2 linked regions of the Anolis sagrei genome follow. The protein of the gene in region 2 binds, or shares a complex with, the protein of the main gene of each other region. Links are inferred from orthologs where the notes say so. Each region holds a gene or a part of one and is shown on either strand. Other genes may lie near its edges.

Region 1 (10,603 bases), on a different chromosome or scaffold from region 2:
AGCTGTTAAAAGATTACACATAGACTAAAACTCATAATCCAGAAGTGTTCCGATCACATTGCCATTCTGTTCGTAGCTGTATACAGCCCTGCACTACTCTCCAAATGCTTGGTTCCATAGTCAGGTTTCAACTTGTTTCCTAAAGGATACAAAGGAGGGAGCTGATCTAATTTCACTGGGGAGGGAGTTCCACAGCTGAAGGGCCACCACTGAGATAACCCTGTCTCTTGCCCCCATCAGCTGCACCCGTGAAGGTGAGGAGAGAGCAGCCCCCCTCCCCCCGAAGATCTTAGCACCTGGGATGGTTCATAGGGGGATAGGGGGAGATGTGTTCGGACAGAGGGGCTGGGCCAGAACCGTTTAGGGCTTTATATGCTAAAGCCTGCACTCTGAATTGTGCTCGGTAGCAAATTGGCAGCCAGTGGAGCTAACAGAGCTTTTTAAAATTTAGAATAAAGCATATTTAAAATGATTTATTTGTATGATGCTTCAAGATTTCACAGTAGAATGCAGCATAAAAGCATTTTCATTGATACATTAAAACATGTATCAATCCAACTAGTGTTCAGAACAATCCCTACCTTCTTGACTTCTGCAGACTAAACTATACAAAGAAATGTCATGAAAAACACCACATACAATTTCCATTCATCTCCTTATAGCACTTGATTAGGTGCTTTGCACCTGAGTAAATCTGAGCTCACTTTGCTTATCTATTCTCTTGAATTTTGGTGAAAAAGTAATGGATCAAATTTTATCACAAGACATTCCTAAAGCTTTGCATGCAAGAGAATATTATCCTACCCAGCCCCCCAAACTAGTATAGAATTTTACCTCTACATCAAAATTAGTCATGTCTGCTTTCCACTGGAAAAAATCTTGAACTGCTCCTCCAAAATCTCTTGCTGCCTCATTTGATTTAAAGCTGTGTTTATCACCAGCTCTGTTGCAAGTCACCCTGAACTTCAGTGTCTCAGCATCCATTTCACACTTCTTACAGTCTTCCAATTCATTCTTGTTTTCTTCATTGGATGCCAGCTCTTCTTTAGGATCAGACTGCTCATCTTCATCAAGTGGTACCTTTTCATCAGTACACTCAGGGTTCTGGGTTTCAGCAGCCTCCAAACTATTTTGTACTGGATCATCTATTTCTTTGCAAACAGCTTCTTGTTCACACCCATCTTCTTTTAGCTTCTCTTTCTTTGAATTGCCTTGTTGATTGCCTTTCTTTCGCCTTGTTTTCCTTTTTTTAAGATTTGTATTCAACTTCCATACTTCCAAAGCATCAGTCCAAGGCAGTTTCTTAGCCAAGTCCTCTAAATCCTTTAGAGTGTCCTCCTATAACATAAGAGGACAAAGCACTTAAACTTTCTTTCATGCTGCCAAGCATTCCCTATGTCTACTAAATTCCATTTACAATACATTCAATACATCTGCTTCTGATGAAGTAGACCTAGTCTGTGAAATCTTATGCTATAAACGTCTTTTGTTCGATTAGGTTCAGAGGTGCTACAACATAACTTTGCATATTTTTAGCTCCAACATCAATTCTCTTCTGCTTTGGTACATGATATATTATGGCTACACCACAATGAACATTTAGATGCACAAAATGGTTTATTCATGTTCAGATCAACTGCTTAACAGTAATACCTTCACACTTTCAGCTACTGAAATCCTACTGAGTTTATAAAGTATTCAAAATGACATACATGAAAGATAAAATATACTGAAACATAATCAAATATTAGAAAACAGAAAATTAAAACAAAAAGAAAACAGGATAGCTATATAATAAGACAGCAATATGTCCTACTAACTTGCTGGAATATAAACTATTCATATTACTCAGTTGATGGGAGGGTGAACATGAATGGACACGAACATGCTAATTACCTCCACTTTTGATTCCTGCCAAACACCTTCTACAGGGCTAACCTTGGATACATAATACTGCTAACAATTTGCTGGCTGGCAATGCTCAAATGTAACACATGAGATCTCATTCAATCGGTAATAGTGATCTATTGGCTTCTGTGCTCAGTTCAAGTTTCTGGTCTTAACTATTAAAATCTAAAGGCTGAGATCCTACATCATCCCAACATGGCGTAGATATTATCTATTAGCATTACGAAGTCCCTATGCTTCATATATTCCTGTACTAAATATTTTTTGTCATTTAAAAAACATGTGCTTGGAAGCATGGAGTCAAAAATGCTTACCTTAGTTTCTTTAAACTGATAATCTTTGAATTCTTGAACTACAACAAATAAGTTGTCAACTGATCGCAACTGATGAACCTAGATGAAATTAGAGAATCTCTTGTTTACTATCGTAGGGGGCTTTGCAATCCTTAAAGACAAGTCTGCTGGTTATTATATTTGGCTTGAAAACATTAAACAGAAAACAAATGCCTACTCTTAAAATGTAACAGAGCAATGTATTTGTCATATTTTTGTGGTAGGTATTTGTTTACTGTTGCTGCACATTTAAAATGCAACTCTTCACATACTGTTATCACACCAAAGCATGTGCAAACTTCAACTTGGAAGTGTTATCTAGAACTAAATATATATATATAAATCTACTTTCACTGAATCTACTTCATCTACTGGAGACCTGTCAAAACAAATATGGCTGCAGTGTGAAACAAAACTTACTACAAAATAAAAACATTTGACTGTTCTTCCATCTCTCCATTCTTCTTCTTTCATGCTCACAATTTCAGTATTTGCAATCCCTTGCTTCAAAAAGAATAGGGCATTAATAAAAATAGATTACAATTATAATTTTATGACTAATAAGGAAACAAACATATGAATAACTGCAAGGAGAATTACAAATTAATATACAACAGGTATTTAAAGTCACAAGCACACACTTTACTCAAATATTTAATAAAAATATTTAATAAAAATCTGCAAACCTGTGGAAGTCTGATTGCAGGAATTTCAAAATAGATTTTCCCTCGATCTTTACTAATTCTGGACTTTGATCCAAGTTTCTCCTGTACTTCATCTGCTGCAGTTGCCTCAAAGCCAGTTGGCACAGTAGCCCCAATTGTAACTATAATATCTTTAGGTTTTGTGTCAGGATTGACTTCACAGTTCTCACTTAATGTTTCACATGCATTTTCCAGGGTCACTTCAGATAACATATCACCGGCCTCTTCAGGTCCAGACATTCTAGCAGGTATTGTGTTTGTTTATAGAACCTCTGTAAAATAAATGCATTCTTTAATAGACTCACCAAATGATTCAAGCAATGCACTTGTTGAGATTTTTTTTCAAACAATGGGACCTGACAAATTCTTCTGTTCAGCGCTACACCTCACATTAAAAGTTGCTTTGATAATATGCATTGGGTCCTTGGTATCTGCTAGGGGTTGGTTTCAGGAATCATCCAACTCATATTGATGCTCACTTTCCATTACATACAATGACATAGTAAAATGATGTCCCTTATATAAAAAGTCAAAATCATGGGTTGCTTTTTGCATTGGGGGGAGGAGGGTATATTTTCAAGATACAGATGCTTGAACCCATGGATATAGGATCAATGGCTTTGGAGAGCTGATTGAATATCTAATATTTTTATGTACAAAAATGGCACCATATTTTAAAAAATATAAGCTTAAAATCATAGGATTTTTGAAATAACATTTACTAGTACACGCATATATGAACATAAAGCAACAGGGGACCAGATGAGAAGTGGTTATGATCCTCAATCTCCCATTGTTAAGGCTGCCTACTATCCAAACCATAGAATTATTTTTAGAAAAACCCAATGAAATGGCCAAGTCAAACACTAGCACACTGCAATGTGTGTTAGAATAACACCAGAACCTCAGTGCACTCAGACTTCACTCTCATAATCATGGTATAACAAGAAGCCATTATTGTGTTTTACAGAAACACCACTCTTTAAAAGGCCCTAATTGAAGTCAAGCACCTATTACATCCATTGATTTCCTCATAAGAAAGCAAAGTTTTATGACTCCTCAATGGAAACAAACCAGCCTGGCTGAACCATATGGAGTGGACTCAAGGTACAGTTTACTATCCCTTATCCAAAATGACAATATCCTGTATTTTGGATGTGTGTGTTAGGAATATCTTTATTTGTAAATGAACATTATCTGGGATTTGGAGAGAGAGTGTGTGTTAGGAATACCTTTATTTGTAAAAGATAGTATCTGGGATTTGGAGTGTGTATGTGTTAGGAATACCTTTATATATAAATGATAGTATCATGGATTTGGGGTGTACTTGTGTGTGTTAGTGTTAGGAATACATTTATATGTAAATTATATTATCTTAGATTTGGGGGGAGGTGTGTGTAAGGAATACATTTATTTGTAAATGATAGTATCTTGGATTTGGTGTGTGTGTGTGTGTGTATGCACGTGCAAGGAATACCTTTATTTGTAAATGATAGTATCTTGAATTTCAGGTGTTTGTGTGTGTTAGGAATACCAAGATATCTTTAACCTTGGAGAAGGGACTTAAGTCTAAATGCAAAATGTTTCACGCATACACATCTGCTGTAGGTAAATGGAACGACTGGACGATGTGACTGAAAAATGATTTTAGTAATGAGACGTTGAGGACTTGTGTTTTTTTTGGGGGGGGGGGTTTGTTTTTGTTTTTTTAATCGGTTTTATACTGATTTATGCATTGCTTTTGACACAAAATAAATATATATTGTCTTTATTGTTTTTATATGGTTTATATTATATGCTAATGTTTTAATTATATTTTATGTTGTTGGGAGCATTGAATTTTGCCGATTGTAAACCGCCCTGAGTCGCCTCCGGGCTGAGAAAGGTGGTATATAAATATAGTAAATAACGAAAGAAATAGATTCCATTTTATTAATGATTTTGAACGTGAAACAAAAGTATGTATACAACGAACCATCAGAAAATAGAAGTGTCACAGCCACTGCTGTATTCTGAAGTTTGTTGTTGTTCATTCGTTCAGTCGTCTCCGACTCTTTGTGACCTCATGGACCAGTCCACGCCAGAGCTCCCTGTCGGCCGTCACCACCCCCAGCTCCTTCAAGGTCAGTCCAGTCACTTCAAGGATGCCATCCATCCATCTTGCCCTTGGTCGGCCCCTCTTCCTTTTCCCTTCCACTTTCCCCAGCATAATTGTCTTCTCTAGGCTTTGCTGTCTCCTCATGATGTGGCCAAAGTACTTCAACTTTGTCTCTAGTATCCTTCCCTCCAGTGAGCAGTCGGGCTTTATTTCCTAGAGGATGGACTGGTTGGATCTTCTTGCAGTCCAAGGCACTCTCAGAACTTTCCTCCAACACCACAGTTCAAAAGCATCTATCTTCCTTCGCTCAGCCTTCCCTAATGTCCAGCTCTCACATCCGTAGGTTACTACAGGGAATACCATGGCTTTGACTAGGCAGATCTTTGTTGCCAGTGTGATGTCTCTACTCTTTACTATTTTATCGAGATTGGACATTGCTCTCCTCCCAAGAAGTAAGCGTCGTCTGATTTCCTGGCCACAGTCTGCATCTGCAGTAATCTTTGCGCCTAGAAATACAAAGTCTGTCACGGCCTCCACATTTTCTCCCTCTATTTTCCAGTTGTCAATCATTCTTGTTGCCATAATCTTGGGGTTTTTTTGATGTTTAGCTGCAACCCGGCTTTTGCGCTTTCTTCTTTCACCTTGGTATTCTGAAGTAATCTGGAATATTTCAGGTTAAGGAATAAAGGATGCCAAACCTGTAACCCGCTTGGGTGCGTCTACATTGTGGTATTAATGCAGTTTGGCACTCCTTTAACTGCCATGGCTCAAGGCTATGGAATCCTGGGAGACACAATTTGCCAGGGCCTCAGAACTCTTTGGCAGAAAATAAAACTAAACTCCCAAGATCCCAGAGTACTGAGCCAGGGCATTAATTCTACAGTGTAGAGCCCCCCTCCTCAAGCCTTTTCCTACCTTCCAATGGAGTTGTGTTGCTGTAAAATGCGGAGTGATGCAGAGGCCGTCTTCGAAAGGAGAGCAAGAGCCCTTTCCTGGGCTTCTTCGGGAGGAGAGCGTGGGAACCGACGAAGCTCCCGCAGACACACACACACAAACGAAGTTCCCTCCTCCTTTCTCAGCCCGCGACCTCCTTTCTTTCTTCCTTTCGCCCGGTTACTCGGGGCAACAGCCTGCACACGAGGAACACCGAGAATTCCTTCCGGGGAAAAGAACCAGCTAATTACAGGCAAGCACTTCCGGGGGAGTGAGCCAGTCAGGCGCGGGAGCCTCTGCGGCCTTGGGAGGGAGGGGGGAGGGCGCGTTCCACTGTTGCCATGGAAACTGTGGGCCAATGGCGTGCGTTCCTTCTTCCCTCGCGCCCCTTAAGTGCAGCACTGCAGGCCCCAATCTGGGAGGAGGCCATTCACACAGAGAAAGAGGCTGGCAATGGCAGTGTAGACCAGGCCTGGGCAAACTTGGGCCCTCCAGGTGTTTTGGAGTTCAACTCCCACCATTCCTAACAGCCGGTAGGCTGTTAGGAATGGTGGGAGTTGAACTCCAAAACACCTGGAGGGCCCAAGTTTGCCCAGGCCTGGTGTAGACTCATGCATTTCAGTTTGAAGCTGCATTATATGGCCTTGCTTTCTATATTTGTCACTCCTGAACCTGTTTCTTTGGCTTCTTCCACACAGTTGGAGGGAAAAAAACACATTTTCTGCTTTGAACTGGATTATATGGTAGTATGGACTCAGATAACCCAGTTCAAAGGACTGATAGCCAGCTGCTTTAAATCACTACAGACTGAGGGGTCATGAGTTCGAAGCCAGCCCAGGTCAGAGTGAGCTTCCGGCCATTGGTCTAGCTTGCTGTCAACTTATGCAGCCCGAAAGACAGTTGCATCTGTCAAGTAGGAAATTTAGGTACTGCTTTATGTGGGGAGGCTAATTTAACTAATTTATGATGCCATAAAAAGAACCAGGCTGTAGTGTACTTAGTAGCCTTCCTCCTGACCTTTAGGAAGCTAGTGAAAACCTGGCTGTGGAACAAAGCTTTTGCAGGATGATGTCTGAGACCAGCAATCGACTAATGGTACTGATCACAATATATGGACTGAATATACGGACTGAGTTAGACATGATTTAATCTTGGCGAATGGCTTTTATGTAATTTAGCTTATATGTAATTGGTAACTTAATGTTGTGTATTGTATTTTAGATTTTTAGTGTTAGCATTGATCTTTGCTGTCAGCCGGTCTGCGTCCCTCTGCAGAGGTAGAAAAGATCGGGATATGAAAGTTTTAAATAAATAAAAAAATAAATAATAGCCAGCTGCATTAACTCACCACGGACCAAGAGGTTATAAGTTCGAAGCCAGCCCTGATGGGGTAAGCTCCCGACCATTAATAATGTTGCTTGCTGTTGACCTATGCAGCCCGAAAGACAGTCGCATCTGTCAAGTAGGAAATTTAGGTACTTCTTTATGCGGCGAGGCTAATTTAACTAATTTATGATGCCATAAAACCTCCCAGCAGCATGCAGAAAAATGAGGAAGTACTCCATCAAAGGACGCAGTGTCACAAATGGACAATCAAGTGGCAGCTCCCCTGTGGCCAGAATCGAGCATACCCTCTTGAAGTCGGAAAAGCTGGAATGTTAAATTGCCTCTGTGTCTATCTATATATGTTGTATTTCTAATTGGCATTGGATGTTTGCCATGTAAATGTGCATTGTAATCTGCCCTGAGTCCCCTGTGGGGTGAGAAGGGTGGAATGTAAATACTGTAAATAATAAAGAAATAAAGCAGATATTGTGGGATTTTCTGCCTGGTTTATATGGCTGTGTGGAAGGACCTTATCATTTTAAGTTATGACCATAGTTGTAATTTATTATTTTCATATTTGCACCTCATGTTTTCATCATAGGCCCCTTCCACACAGCTCTGCAAAATCCACATTGAACTGGGTTATATAGCAGTGTGGACTCATAACCCAGTTCAAAGAAGATATTGTGGATTCGCTACCTTGATATTCTGGGTTCTTTGGATGTGTGGAAGGGCCATCAAATGCTCTATTGGGAGAATTTGCAATGGCAATCTAATTGTCTCATATACACACACATATACATTTAACTTTTTTAAAAAAGAAAAAAAAACATTCCCCAGTTTCTCAAAAGCAGTAACAAAATGTAAAATAATATATGTTGGCTTGAAACACTTCAACTATCTGAGGCCCCTTCTACACTGCCATATAATCTAGAATATCAAAGCAAATAACCCACAAATGGATTATATGAGTCTACACCGCCATATAAGCAGTTTCAAAGTAGATAATCTGGATTTTATATGGAAGTGTAGAAGAGGCTGCAATAATAATAATAATAATAATAATAATAATAATAACAACAACTTTATTTTTATACCCCACCTCCATCTCCTCGAAGGGACTCGGGCGGCTTACATGGGGCCAAGCCCAACACAACAGTTAAAACATAATACATTAAAATGCATATCAACAAAATAATAACAAAAAGCAATATAACAAAATAAAAAGATCAACATTAATGTATAAAACAAACATCAAAACTGACATAACAAAGTTCAATGTCTTGTCGTGGGTGGGCAATCTGATGCCATAGAATTAAAGGATGGAGCTAATGAGTAAAGTGCAAATATCATATAGCAGCGATGAGGGTAAGAATGATTTACCATTAAGGATTTGGATATAACAATCGCAAAGTGCTTGAGGACAAGTTTTTTTTTTGGTCCTAACTAGGGCCAGCTGCCAAGGGAATTGCCTACTTAAAAGCACAATGGAACATCCCTGTCTTTAAGTCCTTGCGGAAGGTGGACACGGAAGGTGCTAGCCTAATCTCCCTGGGGAGGGAGTTCCAGAGCCGGGGGGCCACGACAGAGAAGGCCCTTTCTCTCATCCCCAGAGCCTGAGACAGAGGTGGGACTGTAGAGGGGACCTCACATATTCAGTTTCCTTAAATTGACAGCCATTTCTCAATAGATACGGAGAAGATGACAAACATGGCAGTGTAGAAAGGGGCCATCTTCAACTCACTGCATCAAAACCGGATCTGAACTAATCTTTGCAAGACCTTCATAAGAAAGAGTATGAACTATTCAGCTTTATTTTCTCAGTACTTTACTATTGATAAGAACTAGCTCACTAGAGGGCAGTCTTGTATGGATATATATCAAGACGTAATTGTGATGGCAATATCAACACATGTCTTAATGAGACATGCTGCAGTATCACAGGCTGTCTGGCCCCCACACTACTGTCTAGCCAATATTGCACCACCTGACATCTGCCGGGAAGTAGCAGCCAATAATGAAAGGACCAAGGCAGTGACATCTCCGACCCATCCCCTGTTCGGATATCAACCAGCACGCCAACGCCTTAAATCAAGAAATAGTTTTCTAAGATTTACAAAGATACTCGCAGGAACACCTCAGCAAGCAAGAGTCCAAAAGTGACAGGCTAAAACCCAGCACCTCAATCCATGGCTGATACCAAATGAGACTATTTCTACCAAAATCATCCACATACTGAGCTATTACACATAAGACTGGGCAACTTGGAAGGCGTTGCACAGACTGCGCTCTGGCACCATGAGATGCAGAACCAACCTTAAGAAATGGGGCTACAAATTGGAGTCCACGACATGTGAGTGTTAAGAACAAATCACAGACCACCTATTACAATGCAGCCTGGGCCCTGCCAAATGCACAATGGAGGACCTTCTTATAGCAACACCAGAGGCACTCCAAGTGGCCAGCTACTGGCCAGCTCCTGATACGATAAATAAATAAATAAATATCAGCACATCATTATTTCCAATGTGGACAGCCATCGAGTGTTGCAATTTTAAATTACCCCAATATAGCCACCCCGGCTATATCACTCAGAGGGTAGAGATGACTCTCCAAGCCACACTGTGACTGGAAGTGACTGCTTGTTTGTAAGATTCAGGATGGGAATGGCTGGTTTTTATGCAGTTTGGGGCAGAGATTTAGGACCTCATCCCATGAGTTGCAGAAAGTATGTGTATGTGTGTGTGTGTGGGGGGGGGGGGGGGAGGGGAGGTATCTTCTTACCATAGTGTATTGTCCCATTGTGTTGGAAATAAATTTTTTCCAACCTAATCACACAAGTGAGCATAATCCTCGCTCATTCCATATTCTTTTTCTCTTCCTCTTTTTTTTTAAAAAAGAGGAAACATTGAAATTGTGGAAGCCCAAATAGGTACAGAGACGATGGCAAACATGGTCCTTCTACACTGCCATGTAATCCAGATTATCAAAGTAGATCAAACCAGTCTATACTCCAAGAAATAATGCCCAGCTGCTCATTGGAGGAAAGGATATAAGAGGCAATGATATTATATTGGCCACATAATGAGAAGACAGGAAAACTTGGAGAAGATAACGATGCTGGGGAAAATGGAAGGAAAAAGGAAGAGGGGCCGACCAAGGACAAGATGGATGAAGATTATCCTTGAAGGGACTGGCTTGACCTTGAAGGAGCTGGGGGTGGCCACGACTGACAGGGAGCTCTGGCCTGGGCTGGTTCATGAGGTCACAAAGAGTTGGAAGCAACTGAACCAATAAACAAC
Region 2 (10,603 bases):
ATAGTACAATACAGTACAATAAAACATCATCATCACAATTACCTAAGCCAAATCGTCAATCCAGTCATGGTCATAGTCATACTTGTAGTCACAGTTCATCATAATTCATCACAGGGGGAGGTTCTAGATTCAGTCCTCAAATGCCACATTCCAAATGTCTTTAGTAATTTCCTGAATGTCAGGAGGGAGGGAGCAGATCTGATCTCTAGTGGGAGGGAGTTCCAAAGCCGGGGAGCCACCACCGAGAAGGCCCTGTCCCTTGTCCCCACCAACCGTGATTGCGAGGGTGGTGGGACCGAGAGCAGGCCCCCCCTGGAAGATCTTAATAGCCTTGATGGTTCATAGGGGAGAATCCGTTCGGACAGGTAAACTGGGCCAGAGTCGTTTAGGGCTTTATAGGTCAGAACCAGCACTTTGAATTGTGCACAGAAGCTGATCGGCAGCCAGTGGAGCTGGCGTAACAGAGGGGTCGTATGGTCTCTGTACCCCGCTCCTGTTAGCAATCTGGCTGCCGCACGTTGGACTGATTGACGCTTCCAGGCAGTCTTCAGAGGCAACCCCACGTAGAGAGCATTGCAGTAGTCTAAACGCGATGTAACCAGAGCGTGGACTACTTTAAATCTCTTTTCGTAGGATAATCCTCCAGGGTGGGTCCGTAGGTGGCAATGGAGCCCTATTCTTGACCTGCATCTTCTCCTGCAGCGAGGGCATTGGTTTCCAGGTGAAAAGCGGTCCCAGTTGGGGTTGGCTTGACGCGTCTTCCTCTTGGCATGTTTATTTCTTCCTCCATTCATGCCTCTTCAAATTCTGCAGCACTACTGGTCACAACTGACCTCCAGCTGGAGTGCTCAAGGGCCAGAGTTTTTAAAGAAAAAGGAATGTTGGTGGGAAGGAAAAGAGATTGAAAGATGGGATCAAAGCCAACCTTAAAAACTCTGGCATTGACCCTGAGAACTGGGAAGCCAGAGTTTTTAAGGTTGGCTTTGATCCCATCTTTCAATCTCTTTTCCTTTCCACCCACATTCCGTTTTCCATTCTTGAGATCGGAGTAGAGCAACTGCTTTGTGAGACGGTGGTCGGGCATCCGGACAACGTGGCCAGCCCAGCGGAGTTGATGGCGGAGGACCATTGCTTCAATGCCGGTGGTCTTTGCTTCTTCCAGCATGCTGACATTTCCCCGCTTGTCTTCCCAAGAGATTTGCAGGATTTTCCGGAGGCAGCGCTCATGGAATCGTTCCAGGAGTTGCATGTGACGTCTGTAAACAGTCCTTGTCCTGCAGGCATATTTGAAGCCATAGTTCCGCGTCCTAGTCTTCAAGGAAACAGAAAACAAGTTCTCCCCCTCCTCCCTCTCACATATTTATCCCTGGCCTTCTTCATGTCTTCTCAGGCTATTTAAGCCGCTCCTCATAGGGCTTGTTCTCCAGATCCCTCCTTTTTACTCCACATTTTCGCTTATCCAACGTTCTGCTCTTGGCCCGTTTATGCTGGAGAAGAGACTACTGTACATAATCCCATACAGAAAGGCTTCTCTTCTTCTCGGGCTCTTTAAGCCGCTCCTCATAGGGCTTGTTCTCCAGATCCCTCCTTTTTAGTCCACATTTTCGCTTATTTTCGTTGATGTTGGAGAAGAGACTACTGTACATAATCACATACAGAATGGCTTCTCTTCTTCTCAGGCTCTTTAAGCCGCTCCTCATAGGGCTTGTTCTCCAGATCCCTCCTTTTTAGTCCACATTTTCGCTTATTTTCGTTGATGTTGGAGAAGAGACTACTGTACATAATCCCATACAGAAAGGCTTCTCTTCTTCTCGGGCTCTTTAAGCCGCTCCTCATAGGGCTTGTTCTCCAGATCCCTCCTTTTTAGTCCACATTTTCGCTTATTTTCGTTGATGTTGGAGAAGAGACTACTGTACATAATCCCATACAGAAAGGCTTCTCTTCTTCTCGGGCTCTTTAAGCCGCTCCTCATAGGGCTTGTTCTCCAGATTCCTCCTTTTTAGTCCACATTTTCGCTTATTTTCGTTGATGTTGGAGAAGAGACTACTGTACATAATCACATGCAGAAACTACAATGCACAATAGACATAAATACACACACACAAAATATGGTATTCCAGCCCTTAAGAGGAATGCCTCACACACAGTCAATGCAACTCGAGAAGGGCCTGAGTGAGGCCTAGGCCTGGAATGCCTCCTGAGGAGGCATTCCAGGCCTAGGCCTCACTCAGGCCCTTCTCGAGCCTTTGCCAACTCTAATGACGGCTCCCGGAGGGGCCAAACCGCGTTAACTCTCCGGTGTGGACCCGCCCCGAGGCGACTGACCTTGAGGGCGGCCATGGCTGCTGCTCCGGTCCCGAAATACCGGCCCTTCTGCGCTCCACGGATGCCGAGGAGTGGGGCCTGCACCAAAACAGCCCTGCCTGCCAAAGCCAGCACCCCCGCCCCTCGCCACCCCGTTGCCATGGAAATCGCAGGAGTGACGGCTGCTGCCCTGGCAACCCCGGGCCTGCCTCCCAAGTCTCCCTCTCCCCTCCGGAGGGCGGGTAGTCAGGGGGCGGGGCCAACGCAAGGGGCGGGGCCTGGGGTGGCTCATCTGCATCTCATTTGCATGAAGTACAACCACGTGGAAATGAACACAATCTGCCGACCAGTATTAAAAACCAACCTCTAAAATCAGCATGGTAAATAAAGAACAACGCTCAGAAAAACAGGAAATAATCAGGGCCAGCTAACCTCCCCTGAAAGGATCCTCCCCCCAGGCAGGAAGCAGCCGGGCTTTGAAGCTGCAAGGCTATTCAATGCTAAGGCTTTAAAGCTGTAAGGGTATTCAATGCTAAGGATTCCCCCCAGGCAGGAAGCAGCCAAGCTTTGAAGCTGCAAGGCTATTCAATGCTAAGGCTTTAAAGCTGTATGGGTATTTAATGCTAAAGATTCCCCCAGGCAGGAAGCAGCCAGGCTTTGAAGCTGCAAGGCTATTCAATGCTAAGGCTTTAAAGCTGTAAGGCTATCCAATGCTAAGGATTCCCACATTCAGGAAGCAGCCAGGCTTTGAAGCTGCAAGGCTATTCAATGCTAAGGATTTCCCTCCAGGCAGGAAGCAGCTAGGCTTTGAAGCTGAAAAACTATTCAATCCTAAGGCTTTAAAGCTGTAAGGCTATTCAATGCTAAGGATTCCCCCATTCAGGAAGCATCCAGGCTTTGAAGCTGCAAGGGTATTCAATACTAAAGATTCTCCCCAGGCAGGAAGCAGCCAGGCTTTGAAGCTGCAAGGCTATTCAATGCTAAGGATTCCCCCAGACAAGAGATAGCCAGGCTTTGAAGCTGCAAGGCTATTCAACGCTAAGGATTCTACACGCAGGAAGCAGCCAGGTTTTGAAGCTGCAAAGCTATTCAATGCTAAGGCTTTAAAGCTGTAAGGCTATTCAATGCTAAGGATTCATCCAGTCAGGAAGCAGCCAGGGTTTCAAGCTGTAAGGGTATTCAATGCTAAGGATTCCCCCCAGGCAAGAAGCAGCCAGGTTTTGATGCTGCAAGTCTATTCAATGCTAAGTTTCCCCCATTCAGGAAACAGCCAGGTTTTGAAGCTGCAAGGCTATTCAATGCTAAGGATTCCCCCAGGCAGGAAGCAGACAGGCTTTGAAGCTGCAAGGCTATTCAATGCTAAGGATTCCCCCAGGCAAGTGTCAGACAGGCTTTGAAGCTGCAAGGCTATTCAATGCTAAGGATTCCCCCAGGCAGGAAGCAGCCAGGTTTTGAAGCTGCAAGGCTATTCAATGCTGTAAGGCATTCAATAGCTGTACGGCTATTCAATGCTAAGGATTCCCCTCCCCAGACAGGAGACAGCCAAGCTTTGAAGCCACAAGGCTATTCGATGCTAAGGATCCCCCCCCCAGACAGGAGACAGCCAGGCTTTGAAGCTGCAAGACTATTGAATGCTAAGGATTCCCCTCCGCAGACAGGAGACAGCCAGTTTTTGAAGCTGCAAGGCTTTTCAATCCTAAGGATTCCCCCCCCCAGACAGGAGACAGCCAGGCTTTGAAGCTGCAAGGGTATTCAATGCTAAGGATTCCCCCAGGCTGGAAGAAGCCAGGCTTTGAAGCTGCAAGGCTATTCAATGCTAAGGATTTCCACCCAGGCTTTGAAGCTGCAAGGCTATTCAATGCTAAGGATTTCCCCCCAGGCTTTGAAGCTGCAAGGCTATTCAATGCTAAGGATTTCCACCCAGGCTTTGAAGCTGCAAGGCTATTCAATGCTAAGGATTTCCCCCCAGGCTTTGAAACTGCAAGGCTATTCAATGCTAAGGATTTCCACCCAGGCTTTGAAGCTGCAAGGCTATTTAATGCTAAGGATTTCCACCCAGGCTTTGAAGCTGCAAGGCTATTCAATGCTAAGGATTTCCCCCCAGGCTTTGAAGCTGCAAGGCTATTCAATGCTAAGGATTTCCACCCAGGCTTTGAAGCTGCAAGGCTATTCAGTGCTAAGGATTTCCACCCAGGCTTTGAAGCTGCAAGGCTATTCAATGCTAAGGATTTCCACCCAGGCTTTGAAGCTAAAAGGCTATTCAATACTAAAGATTCCCCCAGGCAGGAAGCAGCCAAGCTTTGAAGCTGCAAGGCTTTGAAGCTGCAAGGAAATATTAGGGTTAGATATGAGAATAATATCATAATAATCGGTTCAGGGAAGTATAGTATAATAATAATAATACTCAAGAATCAATCAAAAATTAGTTCAAAAAGATATAATAATACTCGAGGCATTGGTTCAAGAAGATATAATAATATTGTAATAGTATAATGCTCTAGAAATGGTTCAAGAAGATCTAATTCCTGACACGAAACAATCGGGGCCAGCTAAAACCTCCCAACAAAGGATTCCCCCAGGCAGCAACCAGCCAGGCTTTGAAGCTGCAAGGCCATTCAATGCTAATCAAAGTGGCCAATTGCAACATTCCCACTTGCCTCAAGCAGACAAGAGTTCTTTCTCCCACCCTGGGCATTATTCTACTAAAACAAACAAACAAATAATCATAAATAATTATTATTTTATTGAAACATTTCGTTGATATTATATTTTATATATAGAACATTGTATATGTTATATTAACATTGCATTTTAATATTATATTTATTTATATATTTTATTTCATTTATTTAAATATTTAAATAGTGGGGATGTTGGTTTAAATGAAATATTACAACCCGGAACGGTGTCGCATTTAGATCTGGTTTCCCGTACATTCGATATTAGCGTTGCACTAACTCACCGGAAGTGTGTCGAAATTAGCCGCCGGAAGTGAGAGGAAAAAGGGGGCGTTAGAGCGGTGGAGTGGCGGCACGCATGCGCAGACGGTTTCCCGGCCCGGCCACCGGCGTCGTGCGAGGATGAAGCTTTTGACGCACAACATGCTGACTTCTCACGTGCGGGGCGTGAAGCCCGGCGGCGGCTTCCCTCTTCGCATTCAGGTGAGGGCGGGGCGTTCCCAGGCCACGCCCCCTTGATTAGCATTGAATGGCCTTGTACCTTCAAAGCCTGGTTTCTTCCTGCCTGAAGAAGTCCTTTGTTGGGATGTGTTAACAGGAATAAGCCAGGCTTTGAAGCCGCAAGGCTGAAATAATCTTCAAATCTATGGGGAATTTGGGGCAAATCCTACGCTGTGTTGCTGTGAGGATTTCCAGGTTGCCTGGCCATGTTCCAGAAGCATTCTCTCCTGATGTTTCGCCCACATCTATGACAGGCATCCTCAGAGGTTGTGAGGTTTGTTGGAAACTAGGACAATGGGGTTGATATATCTGTGGTGGGAGAAAGAACTCTTGTCTGTTGGAGGCAAGTGTGGATGCTGTAATTCGCCATCTTGATTATAGCAAAGAATGGCCTTGTATCTTCAAAGCCTAGCTGCTTCCTGCCTGAGGAAGTCCTTTGTTGGGATGTGTTAACAGGAAGAAGCCAGGCTTTGAAGCTGCGAGGCCATTTATTGCTAATCAAGGTGGCCAATTGCAGCATCCGCACTTGCCTCCAACAGACAAGAGTTCTTTCTCCCACCCTGGACATTATTCCCCCAGGCAGAAACCAGCCAGTCTGTGAAGCTGCGAGGCCATTCAGTGCTTATCAAGGTGGCCAATTGCCGCATCCGCACTTGCCTCCAACAGACAAGAGTTCTTTCTCCCACCCTGGACATTATTTCCCCGGGCAGAAACCAGCCAAGTTTTTAAGCTGCAAGGCCATTCAGTGCTAATCAAGGTGGCCAATTGCAGCATCCACACTTGCCTCCAACAGACAAGAGTTCTTTGAAGGTCCAAGGTGAGAGAAAGAACTCGGTGATAGTATGATAGGTGTGTACGGAAGCTCCGAGCGTTACGGAGATGCCGCAAACGCGGCTGGGAAAAGCGAAGAGAGGGAGCGGAGGGAGAGCGGGGAGAGCAAAGGAAGGATAGAAAGGAGGGGATGCTTGGGGTAAGGGTTAGGGCAGGGTTAGGGGTTAGGGTTAGGGGTTTCAAACTGCCAACCTAGCAGTTTATATAATATTATATTAAGGGCCGCTCAGTGGCACAGCGGGTTAAACCGCTGAACTTGCTGACCGAAAGGTCGGCGGTTCAAATCCAGGGAGTGGCGTGAGCGTCCGCTATTAGCAGTTCGAAAAGCATGCAAATGTGAGTAGATCAATAGATCTGGTGAGAAGGTAACGGCGTTCCATGCAGTCATGCTGGCCACCTGACCTAGGAGGACAACGCCAGCTCTTCGGCTTAGAAATGGAGATGAGCAGCAACCCCCAGAGTCGGACATGACTAGGTTTAATGTCAAGGAGAAATCTTTACCTTTACCTTTTACGGTTAGGGTTAGGGTAAGGTTTAGGGTTTGGGTTAGCGTAAGGTTTAGGGTTTGGGTAAGGGTTTGGGTAAGGGGTTAGGGTTACGATTCTGGTATGGTTCAGGATTAGGGTAAGGGTTAGGGTTTCACAATTAAAGAACTCTGGCATTCCTTCTATATTATCTATCTCCGGCCTGGCTTACATTAGCTAATAATAATAATAATAATAATAATAATAATAACAACATTATTATTATTATTATTATTAATTACATTAGCTAATAATAGTAATAATAATTACATTAGCTAATAATAGTAATAACATTAATAATAATAATTATTACATTAGCTAATAATAATAATAATAATAATAACTGCAAAAGGCCACCTGACTTGGATCTGTGCGCATCATTCGAAAATACATCATACAGTCCTAGACGCTTGGGAAGTGTTTGACTTGTGATTTTGTGATACGAAACCCAGCATAGAGATCTCGTTTGCTGTGACATACTGTGCTTTTGTGACAGTAAAATAATAATAATAATAATAACAATAATAATAATAATACATCACACAGTCCTAGACGCTTGGGAAAGGTTCGATTGTGATTTTGTGATATGAAATCCAGCATCTAGATCTTGTTTGTGATGACAAACTGTTTTTGTGTCAGTAAAATAATAATAATAATAATAATACATCACAGTCCTAGACGCTTGGGAAGGCTTCGACTTGTGATTTTGTGATACGAAATCCAGCATAAAGATCTCGTTTGCTGTGACATACTGTGCTTTTGTGTCAATATAATAATAATAATATCACACAGTCCTAGACGCTTGGGAAGGGTTCGACTTGTGATTTTGTGATACGAAATCCAGCATCTAGATCTCATTTGCTGTGACATACTGTGCTTTTGTGTCAGTAAAATAATAATAATAATAATAATAATAATAATACATCACAGTCCTAGACGCTTGGGAAGGGTTCGACTTGTGATTTTGTGATACTAAATCCAGCATATAGCTCTCGTTTGCTGTGATATACTGTGCTTTTGTGTCAGTAAAATAATAATAATAATAATAATAATAATAATAATACATCACACAGTCCTAGACGCTTGGGAAGGGTTCGACTTGTGATTTTGTGATACGAAATCCAGTATATAGATCTCGTTTGCTGTGACATACTGTGCTTTTGTGTCAATAATAATAATAATAATAATAATAATAATATTTTTTTTTCTCTCCATTTTCTTTGCACAGGCCACAGAGGTCAAGGTGAACAATGTCGATTTCAATCCAGAGTTCACTGCCCGGATGGTGCCCAAAGTGGAGTGGGGAGCCTTGGTGGAAGCTGCAGAGAGTGTGAGTCGGGTCCTCCTGCCATTCATTACACTATGTAACAAAATCTGAAAAATTTTCTATTCCCAGTTTGAAAATTTTATTTCCTGTTTAATTGTGTGTTACTTACTTGGAACCCTTTGCTCCATTGTTTCCCATTCTTTAGAACCTCGGATCATTGTTTTACCTTTTTTTTTTGCAGTTGGGTCATCGGTCGGACCTCCCTGCTGAGCCCATCCCTGACTATGAGAGCAATGAGGATTTTCTCCGGAAAGTACATCATGTGTTGATGGAGGTAAGGGATCTCTTCATCGTCCCAGGTTCCTGCATCCTCATCTGTTGCCCAAAATCAGAGAATTGGAAGGAACTACAATGGTCTTCTAGTGGTGGCACAACAGGTTAAACCATTGAACTTGCTGACTTAAAGATTGGCAGTTTGAAGCCGTTGGTAAAGGTGAGCTCCCACTGTTAGCCCTAGCTCTTGCCAACCTAGCAGTTTGAAAACATGCAAATGTGAGTAGATCAATAGGTACTGCTTTTGTATGGTGCCATACAATATCTCCCCGTTTAAACAGTGCCTAATTTCTCTACTCACAGCTATTTTTGAACTGCTTAGGTGGACAGTAAGCTGGGCTGAAGGTCGGGTGCTCACCCTGATCTGGGCTCGAACTCCCAATCTTTCGGTTGGGAAAGATCTCTTGCCGTTAGTGATTAAAGCCTGGCCCTTAACGTTAAGCCGGTGAATCTGCTGACCTAAAGATTGGAAGTTCGAAGCCGTAGGTCTGGATGAGGTCCCGCTGTTAGCCCTAGCTCTTCCCAACCTAGAAGTTTGAAAACAAGCAAATGTGAGTAGCTCAATAGGTACTGCTTTTGTATGGTGCCATACAATATCTCCCCAGTTTAAGCAGTGTCTAATTTCTCTACTCACATTTATATGTTTTCAAACTGCTAGGTTGGCAAGAGCTAGGGCTAACAGCGGGAGCTCACCTTGTAACTTTACGTTCCGGATAACCCTCGTACCATGCAAACTTCGCACTTGGAGGGAAATGGAATGAGGACGATCATCTCTCCCCATTTGAGCAGTGCCTAATTTCTCTACTCACAGCTATTTTTGAACTGCTTAGGTGGACAGTAAGCTGGGCTGAAGGTCGGGTGCTCACCCTGACCCAGGCTCGAACTCCCAATCTTTCAGTTGTGAAAGATCTCTTGCTGTTAGTGATTAAAGCCTGGTCCTTACCATTAAACCATTGAATCTGCTGACTTAAACGTTGGTGTTTTGAAGCCGCAGGTCTGGGTGAGCTCCCGCTGTTAGCCCTAGATCTTACCAACCTAGCAGTTTGAAAACATGCAAATGTGAGTAGATCAATAGGTACTGCTTTTGTATGGTGCCATACAATATCTCCCCATTTAAGCAGTGTCTAATTTCTCTACTCACAGCTATTTCTGAACTGCTTAGGTGGACAGTAAGCTGGGCTGAAGGTCGGGTGCTCACCCTGACCCAGGCTCGAACTCCCAATCTTTCAGTTGGGAAAGATTTCTTGCTGTTAGTGATTAAAGCCTGGCCCTTATCATTAAACCAGTGAAACTGCTGACCTAAAGGTTGGCACTTCGAAGCCGCGGGTCTGGGTGAGCTTCTGCTGTTAGCCCTAGCTCCTGCCAACCTAGCAGTTTGAAAACATGCAAATATGAGTAGCTCAATAGGTACTGCTTTTAATCTGCAGTTCGAAGCCGCAGGTTTGGGTGAGCTCCCGCTGTTAGCCCTAGCTCTTACCAACCTAGCAGTTTGAAAACATGCAAATGTGAGTAGCTCAATAGGTACTGCTCTTGTATGGTGCCATACAATATCTCCCTGTTTAAGCGGTGCCTAATTTCTCTACTCACAGCTATTTTTGAACTCCTTAGGTGGACAGTAAGCTGGGCTGAAGGTCGGGTGCTCACCCTGACCCGGGCTCGAACTCCCAACCTTTCAGTTGGGAAAGATCTCTACTCACAGCTATTTTTGAACTGCTTAGGTGGACAGTAAGCTGGACTGAAGGTCGGGTGCTTACCCTGACCTGGGCTCGAACTCCCAACCTTTCAGTTGGGAAAGATCTCTACTCACAGCTATTTTTGAACTGCTTAGGTGGACAGTAAGCTGGGCTGAAGGTCGGGTGCTCACCCTGACCCGGGCTCGAACTCCCAACCTTTCAGTTGGGAAAGATCTCTACTCACAGCTATTTTTGAACTGCTTAGGTGGACAGTAAGCTGGACTGAAGGTCGGGTGCTTACCCTGACCTGGGCTCGAACTCCCAACCTTTCAGTTGGGAAAGATCTCTACTCACAGCTATTTCTGAACTGCTTAGGTGGACAGTAAGCTGGGCTGAAGGTCGGGTGCTCACCCTGACCCGGGCTCGAACTCCCAACCTTTCAGTTGGGAAAGATCTCTACTCACAGCTGTTTTTGAACTGCTTAGGTGGACA

Evidence for each region.
Region 1: TRMT112 (region 2) and THUMPD3 share a complex: the UniProt entries of both Homo sapiens proteins name them as parts of the heterodimeric THUMPD3-TRM112 methyltransferase complex. The link is inferred for Anolis sagrei from reciprocal best matches to the Homo sapiens genes TRMT112 and THUMPD3.

The regions. Positions count from the first base shown.
Region 1 is NC_090022.1:49,779,356-49,789,958, reverse strand, and holds the start of THUMPD3 (tRNA (guanine(6)-N2)-methyltransferase THUMP3), read right to left. Parts: upstream 6,241-10,603; 5' UTR 5,958-6,240; intron 3,217-5,957; 5' UTR 3,185-3,216; coding exon 2,927-3,184; intron 2,301-2,926; coding exon 2,223-2,300; intron 1,339-2,222; coding exon 835-1,338; intron 1-834. UniProt on the Homo sapiens protein: Catalytic subunit of the THUMPD3-TRM112 methyltransferase complex, that specifically mediates the S-adenosyl-L-methionine-dependent N(2)-methylation of guanosine nucleotide at position 6 (m2G6) in tRNAs.
Region 2 is NC_090032.1:16,789,833-16,800,435, reverse strand, and holds the start of TRMT112 (multifunctional methyltransferase subunit TRM112-like protein), read left to right. Parts: upstream 1-5,313; 5' UTR 5,314-5,384; coding exon 5,385-5,465; intron 5,466-8,066; coding exon 8,067-8,168; intron 8,169-8,346; coding exon 8,347-8,439; intron 8,440-10,603. Other genes in the region: PRDX5 (peroxiredoxin-5, mitochondrial), read right to left, coding at 2,326-2,466. UniProt on the Homo sapiens protein: Acts as an activator of both rRNA/tRNA and protein methyltransferases. Together with methyltransferase BUD23, methylates the N(7) position of a guanine in 18S rRNA.